Lonchura striata: one gene and its partner. The protein of the gene in region 2 purifies or fractionates together with the protein of the main gene of each other region. This does not show direct contact. Links are inferred from orthologs where the notes say so. Each region holds a gene or a part of one and is shown on either strand. Other genes may lie near its edges.

The links. The genes of interacting proteins can lie anywhere in the genome.
Region 1: the proteins of G3BP2 (region 2) and CAPRIN1 purify together in Homo sapiens (affinity purification with mass spectrometry; 5 studies listed by BioGRID and IntAct, with this or other methods). This does not show direct contact. The link is inferred for Lonchura striata from reciprocal best matches to the Homo sapiens genes G3BP2 and CAPRIN1.

What each region holds. Positions count from the first base shown.
Region 1 is NC_134608.1:54,438,368-54,446,414, forward strand, and holds the start of CAPRIN1 (caprin-1), read right to left. Parts: upstream 3,042-8,047; 5' UTR 2,845-3,041; intron 2,569-2,844; 5' UTR 2,567-2,568; coding exon 2,363-2,566; intron 1-2,362. UniProt on the Homo sapiens protein: mRNA-binding protein that acts as a regulator of mRNAs transport, translation and/or stability, and which is involved in neurogenesis, synaptic plasticity in neurons and cell proliferation and migration in multiple cell types.
Region 2 is NC_134606.1:73,018,216-73,025,487, reverse strand, and holds the start of G3BP2 (ras GTPase-activating protein-binding protein 2), read left to right. Parts: upstream 1-4,181; 5' UTR 4,182-4,312; intron 4,313-7,272. Other genes in the region: USO1 (general vesicular transport factor p115), read right to left, coding at 1,485-1,549, 1,657-1,743, 1,970-2,035.

The DNA.
Region 1 (8,047 bases), on a different chromosome or scaffold from region 2:
AAAGCTCTGAAAACCATCTCTACTGGCCTTCGTTAGCAGCTGCTGACAAAGAAAGGATTAACTGTCCAACTGAGCACAAGTTCCCAGTGAGATTTACTGCATTTCTCATCCACTCCTGTCTGTGTAGTTTCCAGAACAATTTTACTTTCTGGATGGTTGGGAAAATTAAAAATATATTCTTGTCCAAAGATGCAAAATACAAGGAAATCCTGATGCGTACAATGAGCTTTGTTTTAAGACACAAAGCATGTGCTGCTCTCTTTATTAAAGGACAGATTATTTACTACGGAACCCTTGGCTCCCCCACCAAGGGAGAGGCTGAAGCCCACAAATGAGTTCCTCTGCTTTAATACACCAAACACCATTTCTCTCATGACTTTTGTAGTGCTTATGAGTCCTCCTTCAGGAAGTTTCAGAACTTCAGTCCATTAAGACTTAGGAATCTTTAAACTTTAATTCATCAGTGAGAAACAACACAGAGCTTTTTTTTCTTTTTTTTTTAAGCCCCAGCTCTTGCCTGTTCTTTAAGCCCACATTGCCCAGCACAGAGTATTAAAAAAATAAATGCTTTCAATAATTTTCATGAAACATCTTCCAACAGGAAAAAAAAGGGCACTTTGTCTCGTCTACTCACTTGTAACTAAAACTTCGCTCAAATAGAATGGAATGGCTATGGCAAGTGTAAATTATTTAAAGGTAAATAAAAATACTGCTCCCAAGCACCCTCACACCAGTAACACTGCTTTATCCTCTTGATTACTCCCAAGTACAGAACAGGTCAGAATGTTCACTTGCTGATTTTGTTTTTTAAAATACATGCTTTTAACATAATAAAAATATTTTCAGAGGATTTTTGTGTATATTGGATACAACAGTTAATTTTCAAACAATTTTTTTGTATTGAAAGAACCAGAGACAGAAAGATCTGCTCTCCTTCTCAAGCTGAGGACCAGTATTGGCTGTGCAGATATTCCTGTGTATTAGCCAAGTTTAAAACAGACATCTTGTCCTGTCTACACGCTACAGACACAGAGAAAAAGCTTCTCTGATTCTAAAACTTACCTAAAATGTCCTGGCTTGCTGCTTTTTGCCATGTCATTTCTGAAAACCAAGAAAACCCCACACCCAGTTTTGAAGTGGGAAGCTACACTGTATACAGTGTATTTATGCAGTGTATTATTGACACACAGTCTATTATTTACAGGTAAAGCACAGCTTCTCTCCTTTACAACCCACCTGTACAGACTAATTTACTGGGAATACTTCCACCTTATACAATACGGAACACTATGAAAAATATCAAAAGTGACAGTTAAAAAAATGAATAGAACACTTACTGTGCTTATTCACTTCTAAGGATAATAAGAGATTTAGAGGTCTAGCACAAATACAATTTTTTTTGTAATTTTAACTTGGACTGTGGCATTTTGAGGCAAGTCTTGAGGCTATGTTCTTTTTTTGACGGACGCCTCATGCTCTGGAGATTGCAAAGCCCTGCAAAGCTCATTTAATCTGCCACCACCGAGAAGGTACAAAACACGCCAGAAGGAACCACGACAGCCTTTTTCTCTCGTGCCACAACTCGAACCGTCCAAGGACCAGGGATTGAGTAGCTGCTCTTTCTAAAAATAACCCGTGGAAGGCTGCTTCCAGCTGGGCTCAGGCTCCCAAAGAGTTGAGCTTAGGGCGATGGAAAGCGAGCGGTGACATGGGGCGGGGTGGGGTGGCCCCGGCTTTGTGCGGGCGGCACAATGAGCTCCGCCGGGGAGGCCGGGCCGCCGCCATGTTACAGCTCCGCGTCCATGTGCCCGGCACCGGGGGCACCGCAGCCTCTGCCCGCCCGCTCCGCCGGCCACGGGCACCGGGCGCGCTGCGGCCGCTGCACGGAGCGGGCATGTGGGGAGCCGAGCCCCGGGATGGCGCGGCTGGGAAAGGCCCCGCCGCGGGGAACAAAAGGCGGAAGGAGGGGGAAGGGAGCGGCGCCGCCGAGGGGGCTCCGGGCAGCGGGGGCGAAGGGGGGGTCGGCAGCCGCGACCCCGCCGGGCTCTGCTCCGCGAGCCGGGAGGAAACCGGGCTAGGTCCCGGGGCGACGGGAGGGCGGCCTGGGAGGGGGCAGGGGGACGCCGGGAGGGGAAGGGGACAGGCCGGGGGAGCGGCGCTCGCCCTTCTGGAACCTTCCAGCAGGCGGCCTCTGGGGGCCACGCCGGGAACAACCCGGGAGGGCTCGGCGGAGGGCCCGGCACAAGGGAGCGGAAGGGAAACAGGCCGGACGGGCTCGGGGGCAGGGGCGGCCGGAAGGCGGGGGACAAGGCGGGTGGGCACCCCGGGTGGGCTGGAGGATCAGAGGGGACGTGGGGATCACCTTCTTCTTCTCCAGGTTGCGCAGCTTCTTGTCGATCACCCCCAGGATCTGCTTCATGGCCTCGGTCTGCACCGTGGTGATGTTCACACCCGCCGCCGCCTGCGGGGCCGCCGCCGCCGGAGCAGCCTCGCTGCCCGGTCCCGCTTTGCCGGTGCTGCTGCCGGTGGTGCTGCTCGCCATGGTGCTGTTGGTGGCCGAGGGCATCTCTGTGAAGGAGGGAGGGCGGGAGAGAGACAAGAGAGCGGAGAGAGCGGCGGGCGCGTCACGGGGGGAGCGCGGACGGCGGGGACGCGGCCCCGCGCGCGCACGAGCCGCACCTGCCCCGGCGCGCGCGCCCCCCCCCAACCCGCCCCTCCCTAGCCGCGCGCGAGGCGGCGGTCACGTGACGGCAGCCTCGCGCCCAACGGTCATTTTCCCTTCACGCTCCCCTCCCCCCCCCGCCCCGCTCGGGGTGTCCGGAGGGGCCGCGCCGCCCCCCTCACCCTGTGCGCCACTGAGCCCGGGGGGGGATACGCTGCGCTCTCTCTCGCTCGCTAGGAATGGCCGCCTCAGCCACGCTCCAGCCCCGCCGCCCGCGCTGCTCCTGCTACCACGGCAGAGAGAGAGAGAGAGAGAGAGAGAGACGGAGGGAGGGCGAGACAGCGGCGGCGCGCACGCCGGCGCGTAGAGGCGAGGCGGCGCGGGAGCGCGCGGGGTCCTGGCCGGTCCGCGGGTGGCCGCAGAGAACGCCTGAGCCCGCGGCGGCAGCTGCTGCGCTGCCCGCGCGGGTCCTTCAGGCGCGCGGCGGGCGGCTCAGCGCCAGACACAATAGCGGCGCGTCCCTCAGCGCCTCCCGCCCGCTCCCGCCGCGCACCGGCCCCGGAACGCCTCTCGGTGCCCTGCGGCGAGCCCCCGAACCGTGCCACAGCGTCACGGCTCTCACTGAGCCCTAAGAGCCGCAGCTCACTTGCCGGGAACACTTGCTTCATCTGTGTGTCAGGCTGGGATTTGTGTTCCAGATACATCCCTGCGATCCCCACGTAGCGTGTTCAGTCACCAAAAGCTGCCACCGCTCAGTAAACCTTCTCTGCGACCAGTTTATTGTTTCAGTGTTAATAAATAAAATGCACCACCGGGGTTTCTGTGAGGAAAAGGAATTTTGGGATGAGTGCTCCAGATGCTTCGTGCGGCACAGCTGGAGAATGAAATGCCGCTGCCTTCATAAGGCCAGGAGCTAAATGGGAAAGGATTTGGTATTGAGTTGTCCTGGAATTAATGGGTGCAAGACTCTGGGAATAGAAATCCCTGAAAATCTAGCTGCACGTGGACATTGAAAATTTTGGTTATAATACGCAGTTTAAGACTGTATGTACTGTTATTTTTTAAAGTGTTGGGTATTTTTCTTTGATCTCTTTATTCGTGGATACACAGAATCAATGACATTGAAAAGAAGGAAAAAGCCCAGTCTTGAACACCTGGCCCAACCTCATGGGAGATGTCTCATGGCCCTTCCTCACCAAATCCTTGCCCTTGTTTCCATCCTGGTTCTTGCTCCCCAAGCTGATAATGCAGCAAGAAACTGTTTACTCGACAGGCAGATTTCCCCCCTCCACTCCATCTGTAAATGTTGCTCCTTACACTTCTGCTTTCCATGTATCTCTGCATTTTCTGGAGCAGCTCAATGCTTTGTCATATTGTATTTAGATATTTGCTTTACAAATCACTTCATTTTGCATAACAGGTTATGGAACATGTAATAAAGCATGCATCCCAATTATTTCTGTTGAATAAATGAGGTATAAAAACAAAATCTTCAATTATTGAAAGTCCTTTTCACTGTTCAACAAAAGGATTTTGGTAATACCACTGCATTTTTTAAATTCCATTGTATTTATGAGATTTAATTTCTATGGATTTACTTCTCCAAGCCCCATTCATGGGGGTTGAAATGACTTTTTTTCCCCAAGCAAAATGCAGTTTTTCTGTCAACATGTGAAGTGCTTGAGGCTTTTTGACCACAAAATACAGTGGTTTAAAATAACATGGAATTGTCTCACCGATTCCTATTAATTTCTCCTTTTTCCTCACATTGCCATTGCTATTCTCCATAAGTTCTGGGCACAGTTTAGGCAAATTTTTCAGCCAAGCTCTGATAGAGTTTGTACTCAAAACCTTTCAAGGTGTTTATTCTTCACGGAGAAGTGAAACATGAGGTAGCAAACGTTCATTGTCCCAGAAATAAAGGAAGTTAAAAGGCTGCTCTTGAGAGCAGTTATTGCACGAGATTGCAGTTAATCTCAGCTCCTGAAATATTTCTTACTACTTATGTGCTCATTGCTTCAGGCAGGTCTTGCTGTGAGTTATTGATCTGCTCCTTTCCCACCATTCCTGTACAAACAGTGACCACAAATTCCTCATCCTTCTGTGCCAACAGTATTGATCACCAGCACCTGGCAGAGGAAAACCCTGCGGAATTCCCAGTAAGAGCTGAGACCTTTGCTTGGAGGAAGTGTTGCTGAGCTGTGGGTAAACTCCATCCTGGCAGCTTCCAGCGTGATGAGTTTGTAATCAGCATGTGGGTCTCAGCATTTCCATCTCTCAGAGATAATTATCCTTGCATTTTGTGTTTGGGAGCTTTGCAAAATGAAGCTCAGCTCCGGAGCTGCTGGGTTTGGAGTCACGTTTGTCCAGTCCCCAGGGAAAGGCCTGAGAGGAGAGAAGGCCCCCCAGCAGAAGAACTTCCACAAATGGGAACCTTTAGAACACAGAACTGCTCAAGATGAAGGAAGTCACATTCCCGACCCTTCCCATTTCAAATTTCTTCCCTTTTGCCCTCTTTGCTCCCCTTTGATCGGGGATTTTTGACCAAGCCAAGCCTTGCCACTATCTCTGGGGAAAATCCTACAAGGAAGTAGTACTAGTCCTCTACTCCCTTGTCCTATTGCCAAGCTGAAAAGAAAAAAGGAAAGATTACAGCTTTTTTTTTCCCCTCCAATGCCCTAAAAATTATTTCCAAACAAAAGCAATGTGGCAGGTTGTGGGAAACGGATTTGCAAAGAATTCTCAAAACCTGACAGAAAACTCACAGTCTTATATATCTGTATACAAACACTAAGATTAAGTGTGCTAATTTAAGAAAGCCATAGAATAGAGATTACATTGTTAAGAGAGAAATTAAACTAAAACTAAATTTCAACAAGTTTCAAAATGTAGCCTTACAAAAAGACTAGATATTTTAGAAAACTAGAACGGTGAAAGATGCATTGTAGCAAGACCAAAGAGGTGATTAGTGTTAGAAATAATGGCAACATTGTGTGGCAAAAACAAATAAACTGAAAAACATTTATAAAGCATTGTAACCAAGAATAGGTTAGCTTCTGACAGAATAGCCTTTTTACATCTCATCATCGAGACTGATAATGGAATAAAATCTTTTAAAATGCCTCTCAGATGCCTCATCTCTGTAAAAACTTAGAAAACCAACACTAGCTTAGCTCCTTGTGAGCCCCAAGGATGAGCTGTGTCTCCCTGCAGTTCTGCCAGGCTCTGACCATTCCTGTAGATGTGCTCCTGTCTTCCCAAACCTGGCATCCCATCCCTATATCCTTCCATCTTCTGGTTCCCCACTTGTCCAAAGCTCATCAGCTTTTCCACCCTGCTGATCTGTTCCAAATTTCCCCAAACCAGGAACTCTGGCCCACTCAGCACTCTCTCCTTAATCACCACATCTACTCCCTGGTCATACTCAGAATTATCCTGAACTATGTAATGAAAGGAACATAATTAATAGCTTCCATTTTTTTCTGTGCTGGATTGTTTGGGGTTTTTGGTTTTTGGTAGTTTTTTTTTTTTTTAATTGGATTTGTTTTAAATAGGCTCCATAAGACTAAAATGAAATTTTGTTCCTGCACATCATTACAGGTCTGTTAATCAAGCAGTTCCCTGCCTGAGCTCATGGAATGTTATGGGATTTCAGCATTGCCAGTGTTCTGTCAGGTTATAGAGATAACCACAGCCTAAATTGAAAAGCAGATCCCATTCCACCTCTGGAGCACAGAAAATGGAAAGGACCAACCTCAGTTTCCAGTTCCCGGATTTGTTATACGAGGATTAGGGTTGCTAGGTTTTGAGGGGGTCCCAGTCTGCACATTTCAAAAGTTGGGGCTCCTGCTTATCAGACTGTTTTAGAAAGGTATCGCTTTATTTTTATTTAGGTTTCCTTTTTCCACAGGAATTTGCTCAAAGGAGAGAAATTCCCGTTCTATCTAAGCCCACAGGCTGGCTAACTTTCATAATAAAATGAGACCCAGACAAAATAGACTTCTCTGAATAAGGATTGAAAGCTCAGTGTATGTTTTTTGCCTGAATAAGATTAAAATACAAAGTTTTTATCAGAAATGTTAAACATTGATATTTTGGGAGACAAGTCAATAAAAAAATTCAGAAGGTGTTTGAGTTCAAAGGAGATTAAATGAAGTCTAATGGTATGATTAGTCAAAACTGACATAATTCCAATCCAATGCAGTGAAAAATTGATTAAATGCTACTAAATGATAGATTTCCCTACACAGCCATGGATGGGAAATCCTCACAAAAGGTATTTCTGTTTCAGTTCTTCTTCCCTTCCATGAAGCAATTGTTTACTGAAGTCTCCAGCTGCAGAACCAGGCTGGGACACTCCTTTGCTCCACTTTAAACTTCATGCAAAGCAGATCAAGCCTTAGTTTATGGACAAAGCCCTGGCACAGGAAGGGAGGAGGAGGTTGGTCACACATGCCAAGGAAGCTCTGAAAAGCAGCCCAAAACTGCCCAGGGCTTTATATTTGCCTGACTTAGCTAATTTGGATGGGCCCAGCTTACCACACTCTCCAGGATGTTTATGCCTGTCCTCCCTCTAATTTACTCTTTCAGTCATCTTTTTTTTATTTGTAAATTAGATCAAGTAATTCTGTCTTTATTTCCTCACTGCTAAGGAAAATATTGTGACAAATGCTGCAGCCCCAACCAAAGCATCCTCTTAAATAACAATCTTCTATTCAATTTCTTTTTTTCAGCCGCTTTAGTGTATCACAGCCATTTAAAGAAGAATACCCTGAGGCTATATGTCAAATTTAGGCTGATCATAGTCTGATTGTCTTAGATCTTTAATTCTGGAGAGCATCTACAGAGGTCGTCATCCCAAACTTTTAATCACCTCAGAAAATATTACTTTTTTTAACTCTTTTTTTTTTTTTCCTCAAAGAGATGTGCTTTGTAACTGTGGAGTTAAAAAAAAAAGGCTCTTACTGAAAGGATATTCAGCCCAGTGCTGAAATATATCATGAAAATCAATAATTGAAAGGCAAAGATGCTGCCAAAGGCCAGGTTTTACTGTAGATGGAATGGGTAACATGGGGCTTATGATGTGCCTAATAGCAACTTTTTACCTTTATTTCTATGAATAGAATAATTTTATCTTTATTTCTATGGCTCTTTCTATGAATGGAAGAGTCCAAATAGTTCTTGACAAATGAGCAGATCCAATGCCTGCCCTCTTACCCACCCCCCTGGGAAATTTGTATCTGAACCCGTCATCTCTTCAGCTGATTTGGTCAGCACAGTCATTAGAAAAACAATGGGTTTTGCTAATTATATTCATAATTTATTCATGCTCATAAGACCTGAAAATTGCCAATCAAACTTTACATTCTCCAAGGCATACCGCAG
Region 2 (7,272 bases):
CCAGCCTGTAACAACTGCACTGATCACACACAGACACTACAACTCTTTCTCCAAGGAGCCACAGCAACCAACACTTGGCCCAAGCTCATGTGCTGGCCCACCAAACAAGAAACAGCAAATGACTTGAGCAACATCTTGTCAGAGCAACATGTTTTCTTCAGCTGAAAACCCCCAAAAGACCCCACGTATTTATTATTTTCTTTCCACTACAGCCTGAGTCACACAAGATGTGTGCAGAACCGCAGCATCCACAATTTCCAAAGGATCAACTGGAGCTCAAAAAACACTGCAAAGCCTTAAGTTCCTGCCCTAAAGGGTTCAGGTTGCCTACTCAACTGGATCAGTAGGGCCCCGCCTCCCTTCTCAAAGTTCAAATCTGCCCTCAGAGCAGATAAGTGGATGAAAGTAGGCTCCTTAACCTAGTTTTTTTTAAGGGCTTCCCCTTCACATCTGTGACAGTTACTCCTATAACCTTCCCTCTCACTGTTTGCACCAGGTCAGACATTCAATTTTAACTACCCAGCCCACAGAATAGGAATAACATGCACTTGCCTAGACCTTTTTCCCAGCTGGCATAACTGGCCAGGCAAGAAAGGCCTCAATCAGCAGTTTCCAGTCCTGTATCCATAACTGGGGCAGGAGGCCTCCTGGTAGACACTGAACTGCAGCTTTCCCAATTCTCAGTACCAGCATCAAAGGACACGCTCCTCCTTCCAGTCTATGCCCATCCAGGTATTCCACAGGCTCATGACATTCTCACAAAGTGACCAGCTTGAGATTCAAGTCCAGACTGAATGACTATCCCCTTACGGTTGCCTACCTAAATACCAAGTATGTGCAGTATTTGAAGCTGAAATGCAAGGACTGCAAACAGGCTCCATTGTACAACATGTGGGCACTGTCAGGTACAGCAGTGATTGCAAGGATGGATAACAAAGACATTCCAAGCACTGGATTGCATAAATATTACATTCTAGTCCACACAGAGCACCCAGACTCATGCCATCTGCCTCAGCAGCAGCCTCGGAGCCCGGCTCTCCTGTTTGCCTGAACCCAACTTGTTTTTAACACGCACAAGCAAAAACACACCCCTGCTGACTTCATTCTTTTTCTCCTAATTCTGTCTAGCTCACCTTTTGCCCAGTAACAGCTTGGTCTGGGTTATTCCAAACAGTGTGTTTAGTTAACATGATCTGTTTGGACTCACCTCTCTACAGTAGTGGAAAGATAACCCCGATAAGCATTAAGACATACTTTGGTAGTACCTCCACTCCAGAGTTTGTCTTTCTGTCCCTCATCCCGGTTCCTGGAATTCTTTCTTTTTACCTCCAAATAGCCTCTCACGACATTTACCAGCAGAAAAAGCCAAGGTGGCAGAGGAGCTGTCAGAAACGCAGCTGCCCTCCCGGCTTTGTCCGCACAGTGCACCAGGTCTGCATCTGCTGTGTCAGCCCAGCAGCCCAGAGCAGCTGCAGGATGCTTACCGGTCCGTCTGGAGAACGTGGATGAGGTGTTCCATGGCTTGTATGCCGACCTCCAACCGGTATTTCTGTTTGGACGACACACAAAAAAGTTCACGGTCGAGGCCAAACACCACAGAAAGACTGGTTCACAGCACCTGACAGTACGCCGCTATTCAGGAAGTTGGCCACGTACCTTGGATAACGACTTGAGAGCACGGACAGCATCCCTCCGGTCATCCAGCAACGTGGACGAAGCTACGCGGTCACACAGCTTCTGGATCTGGAAGGGCACGTACAACGCACGGGATAAGCCGGCGCGGCGGCAGGGGACACTCCCGGCACACGGGAACCGCACGGGAGAGCCGCTCCCTGCCCGCCGAGCCGGCAGCCCCGAGCGGCACCGGGCACCACCCGGGCCTGGCACGGGCAGCGGCGGCAGGGCGGCCCCGGCCGGGGCTGTCGCGGCGCGCCGGCCCTGCCCCGGCCCGGCCGCGTCCCCCGCTCACCGTGTCGGCTCCCGAGGGCTGCGGGCCGGCGCTGGGGCCGCCCATGACGCCCCGCAAGAAGTTCATGGCGGCTCGGCCCGGCCGGCGCTGCCGCCGCCCCGCGGAAGCGGCCGCCGCGCCTGCGCTGCCACGTGGCGCGGCCGCGGCCGCGGGCGGGGCCGGCGCCGCTCGGCCCGGGAGCGCCGCCGCTCCTCCCGGCGCCTGCCTCCCCAGCAAAGGCTCGCCCGGTGCCTGCCTCCCCAGCAAAGGCTCGGCCGGTGCCTGCCTCCCCAGCAAAGGCTCGCCCGGTGCCCGCCTCCCGAGCAAAAGCTCGCTCGCAGTGAGCAGCGGATCCGCAGCGGCAGAGGGCGTTCACCTGTCTGGGAAGTAAAAAAGCGCACGACTCGAGCACGGTTCCCCTCCCGCGTCTCGGCGTCTGTGCATCCTCAACCACCGCTAGGCAAACGCACAGGCTTGGCATGCAAGACATCGCGTTCACTGCTAAGGAAAAACAGCGAGGTGATAGCTACCGTGATCTATAAGTAGAAAACGTCCAAACACTTTTGAAACTGAGTCACCTCCGTGAGAACCAGAAGCTTACCTAGATAAGGCTGGTGGTTCAAGTCCAAGAGCACCACGAAGTTCTTAAATTACTTCCAGATGCTGAATGCCCCCATTGGGTGCTACTGCAAAATATTTGAGATTCCTGCTGAGGAGCATCAAATCCTTCATGCACTGCACCCACATATCAGCTTCCAGCCTAATGCTGCCTTCCTGATGGTTTCTGACAGGGTTTGACAGTGTTTAGCTTTCTGCATATCCAATCAAAGTAATTTTAATTGCAACCACAGCACAGAAAGGGCCAATGCCATCACTTCCAAAAACGACTTCACTTCCTTCCAGGGAGACCCCTCTCACGTGACAGTCTAAATCAAAAGCTTTGAGGATTTTATTTTCCTTATCAAGTATAGAATGAAATGAACCACCCAGCACATGGCCCAGAGGGTTTTCACCTTGTTGGGCAACAAAGAACCCTTCAGTGAAGTTTGGTCACCAAATGATGAGGTGGTTATAGCAACCATAGGCATGTCGGCACTTTCCTGATGCAGAGGAAGGCAACTCCAGCCTGCAGTCACCACACAGCCCCAGCTGTGCTGCAGCCTTGCTGAGCACAGTCATGCATACCCGGGCTATGCATTCCTGACTGCTTCTCCTCCTCCCATGCCTGCCCAGCAGCACGTCAATGCTACAAAACCCAGCCAGAGCTCACTCACAACAGCCCTAGCTTGTAAAGGTCCAGATCCTCTTACCCCTCATCCCCCACCAGCTGCAAAACAAGCCAGAGAAAAGAAAAAATTCCTACCAAACCAAAGATGTTGAGAGATTCAAATGTTAGGAAAAGTTCCCTCTCTTCCCCACAGTGATGATTCAAGGCCCATTCTGGGTCAGTGCAGATGCACAGCAGAACTCACCTGACACGTCCAAGTTGGTGTAATGAGATTCTGGTCCTTGGCAGAAAAACATCAAACAACCAACACCAGATTCTTCCACAAGCCAAAATTTATTTCAGTATTTCCACCCTCACATAGACAACCCCAGCAAACAAAGTGAGCTGCTTCCAAAAGATGTGTCTGACGCACCCAAACTGGCCTCCTGGAAACGTAATATACTCCAAGGGCAAATTCTAAAGGAGCTACCTGACATTCAACCTGCAGTCACAGATAGTTTTTTATTTCAGCATAAATCGAAAATGTTTCTGTTTCAACGAGAAGCTGCAAACCTCTAACGGCGCAATGTATGGGGGCACAGCTCTCCGCAAACCCCTGCTGTATCCCCACACTGACCGCCCCGCGGTTCCGCAGGCTGGAGCTCCGTCCAAGCGACACTGCTCCGGCAGGCAGCACCAGGAGGAACCGAGCTCTCCCGGCCACGCTCCACGACAGCCACCGGCGCCTTGGGGCCACGGTAAGGGCCGGAGCTAAGGCCCTGCCCGCCGCTCCGGCCGCCGCCGCTCGGAACCATCGGCCCTCCCCTCCCTCCCGGCCGGGCTAAACGCGCCTGGCTCCCGCCTGACGTCATCGCGCCGCCCGCTGCTGATTGGCGGAGAGCGCCGGGGGCCGCCCCGCCCGTCCCCCGGGCGTGCGCAGGCGCGCGCGCACGCAGGCACGCACGGGAGCCGCGGCCGCCCGCCCTCCCCCGCCCGGCTGTGACACCGCCGCCGCCGCGCCCCGCTCGCCCTGTGCTGCCCGCGCCGCGGGACGCGCCGCCCGAGGGACACGCCCGCCGCGCCCGGCTCCGCGCAGCTCCCGGCGGCCTGGGCGAGAACGCGCCCCGGCCCCGCGCACCGAGACTTTTGTCCCTTAGGTGAGCGGGGCGGGGGGCGGGGTAGGCCCCGGCGCGGGCTCTGTTTGTGTGCGGGGCGGCGGCTGCTCAGCGGCCGCTGAGGGCAGCGGCGGGGCGGCGCTGAGCGGGGCTGGGGGCAGCGCCCCGGGTCCCGCTTTGCCCTTCGCTGCCGGCTCGGAGCGCGGGGGGGCGGCTTTTGTTCGCCGTCACCTTGGCGGCTCTTCCGCCTCGCCCCGGGCGGCGCGGGGAGGCCGGGGAAAAGCGCCCCCAGGCCCCGCGTCGCTCGATGCCGGCCGCCGCTTCCTGTCTCACCTCATGGATCGATCCCTGTGCAGGGGCCTCCAGAGGTACGTGGGCTTCGGCATGGCCAGGGTGATGCTGCGGCGGCCTCGGTCGTGCTGCCGAAGCTCTCTTAGCTCCCCATCCTCGGGTCAGCGGGCCCCTCTGCTCTCCTGCAAATTAGTACAGCCGTGGTAACCTGGCTATGAGGGCTGCCCCAGCTCTGCAGACCTCGCCTTTCTGTGCTTCCCCTTTCCTCAGTCGTAACCTGGGCTACTCTGTTTGCACACGGAGTGATATTGCAGAAGTTGTTGTGAGCACCTTTTATTCTGCAGAGCTGGATACCTCGAGTAGGTCTTTTCTGAGCTGCTCTCATTTGTCACCTGAGTTGAGCTCACTGGGTTCTCCGGCTTCTGCCTCCCTTCTTCTCAGAGGTCATTGCAGTTGCAGTGTGGGTGCCCAGGAACATCTCCACAACAAATCTTTTAAATCCCTTGGGTAGCTGGGTGAGCCTGGCTCTTGAGCTTGGTTCCAGGTACCACTGCATAAAAGGACTATCACAGGAGAGAATGAGATGATATGACATTATTGTTTAATTTCAAGCAGAAAGTCTTGGTCAGTCGCGTAGACATTGTTACTGTGGCCTTCCGTACTGGTTTGGCAACTCTGAAGCCCTCTGTATGTTCTTCAGTTCGTTGTGCAAATGATCTACTTTCCTGCAGAAAGCAGTGTAAAGATGCCCAAGGTATTTTGGAACAGTTGGGAAATAGGGGAAGTTGTAACAATCTATACCAAATTTCTGAATGTAATGTGGCTCTGTTACTGTAGCACTGCAAGTGAGTATAGGATTTGTCAGCTTGGATTGTGAGCTGAGAAGTGGTTGCTGACAAACTGCTGTTGCTTTATCTCCATAGTTGACTTCTCGTGCAGGAGGCATTCTGTGTCCATTGTGGGTGTGGGTACAGGGCCATGCCTCCCCTAGGAAAGCTTGTTATTCTGAAGGATTCCTTCTTCTTGTGATCCCTGGTTGCTTGGATGTCAGAAACATAATCTTGATTTGCCATTGGAAGTGTTCTTACAGTTGCTGCTTGGCAGATGTGGGGTTACTGTGTGAAATTATGAGCTGTATTTGGTGACTTTTTTCATTAGAAATGGAAAATCTTTTCTCTGAAAACTAGCATTAGCTGAGGAGAAAATCAAATGTCCATCATCCATGTAACTGTTTTCCTTTATGGAACTGAGGATTCAGTTTAAGCATCTCTTCTCATGCTTAAGATTATTTCACAGCACTGAAAATACAGTGGGGATCCACTGTGCCTTAAGAGGCTCAGTGTTGGATTTGAGTCTTCTGCTGTGGTAGTTGTGGTGCTGGATGTCACTGCTTTTGAGATCATTTAACAAAGAAAGAACTGTGTTTCAACTCAAGTAAACATGAAAAGATGGATATGTCAGAGTGATAGATGTATCTGATGAGACACTAGGAGAAAGGCTCCGAACCTGCTCGTGGATGGTGACACAGAGGTGGAATGGCTCTCCCAGAGCAGATCACTGTTGTTACTGCTCTTTGGGTGCGTGTTGGCCCTTTTGGACTGCACAGCTAAATTGCCCAGAGGATGGTCCCCTATGGCAGCTGTGTGCCCAAGATACAGGGTGCTGGTAAACTTCTCCCAAAAAACCCCAACCACAAACCAAAACTAAACCAACCTCTCAGGAGAGCTTGCTTTGAAAGAACTGCGTGCTGTGCCTTTGAGCCCAGCCACTTGAGAATGTAGCACAAAGGTAAAGGAGATCATAAAGGAAAGGCATTCTGATAAATTACACATGGTTGCTGGTCTTTGCTGCAGAATGAGGATGCTCTGAGTGCTGACCTTGCTGAGCATGACAGAGGGATGGTCGTGCCAATACTGGCATGTTGTCTGGGACTTGTGTTGCCCTTTCAGGATGTTTTTCCTTGCAGTTGGTGCTGCTTTGCCTGTCGATGGGGTACCTGCAGGGCGAGCTGTGGCTGCTCACACGATGTGCACCGCTGATTCGTGCCTGCGGATTGCAGGAGCAAGCCTGTCCTGCAAGGCATTATCTTTTGCTTGTCTACAGTAAGAAACACAGATTAAGACTGATAAATCTGGGTTCAGGACAAATGTGTCCAAGATTGTGAAAGCTGCTCTCCCCTTTCCTTCTGTTTTCCTTCAGCTCCAGAGGTGTGCGAGGTGGCACTTGTAGCTTTTGCTTAGTGTGCCCGCTGTGTGGGGAACATCTTCCTGATTTGCAAGAATATTTTCTCAAACTTATTTTTGTTTTAAGTGTTATATTCAAATGATTAATGACTTGGACAAGAATTGCTAACTTGTGGATATACAAACAAGCCATGCTGTTGCAGATTTATGGAAAATAATAGCTTGATGTCTGTGTGCCTATAGTTACAGATAAATTGTTCCATGGATGACTTGTTCAGAGGATGAAATTTGCTTGTCAATAGAACAAAATGTTATTTGCTTATAGTTTTTTATTAAAACAGCTGGTGAGGCCCACAACTCCCTTGCCAAGCTTAGAGATTTCTTTTGATGGAGGTTATGTTCAAGTTCAGGTAGCTTTCTTCAGCTACTGTCAGAATTCAGTTCAGCCTTGTTCTGGTTTGTTTGGTTTTTGTTTCTTTTTTCCCAGGTAGAATTGGTGAAACATCCAGGCCACTTCACTATTGGTAG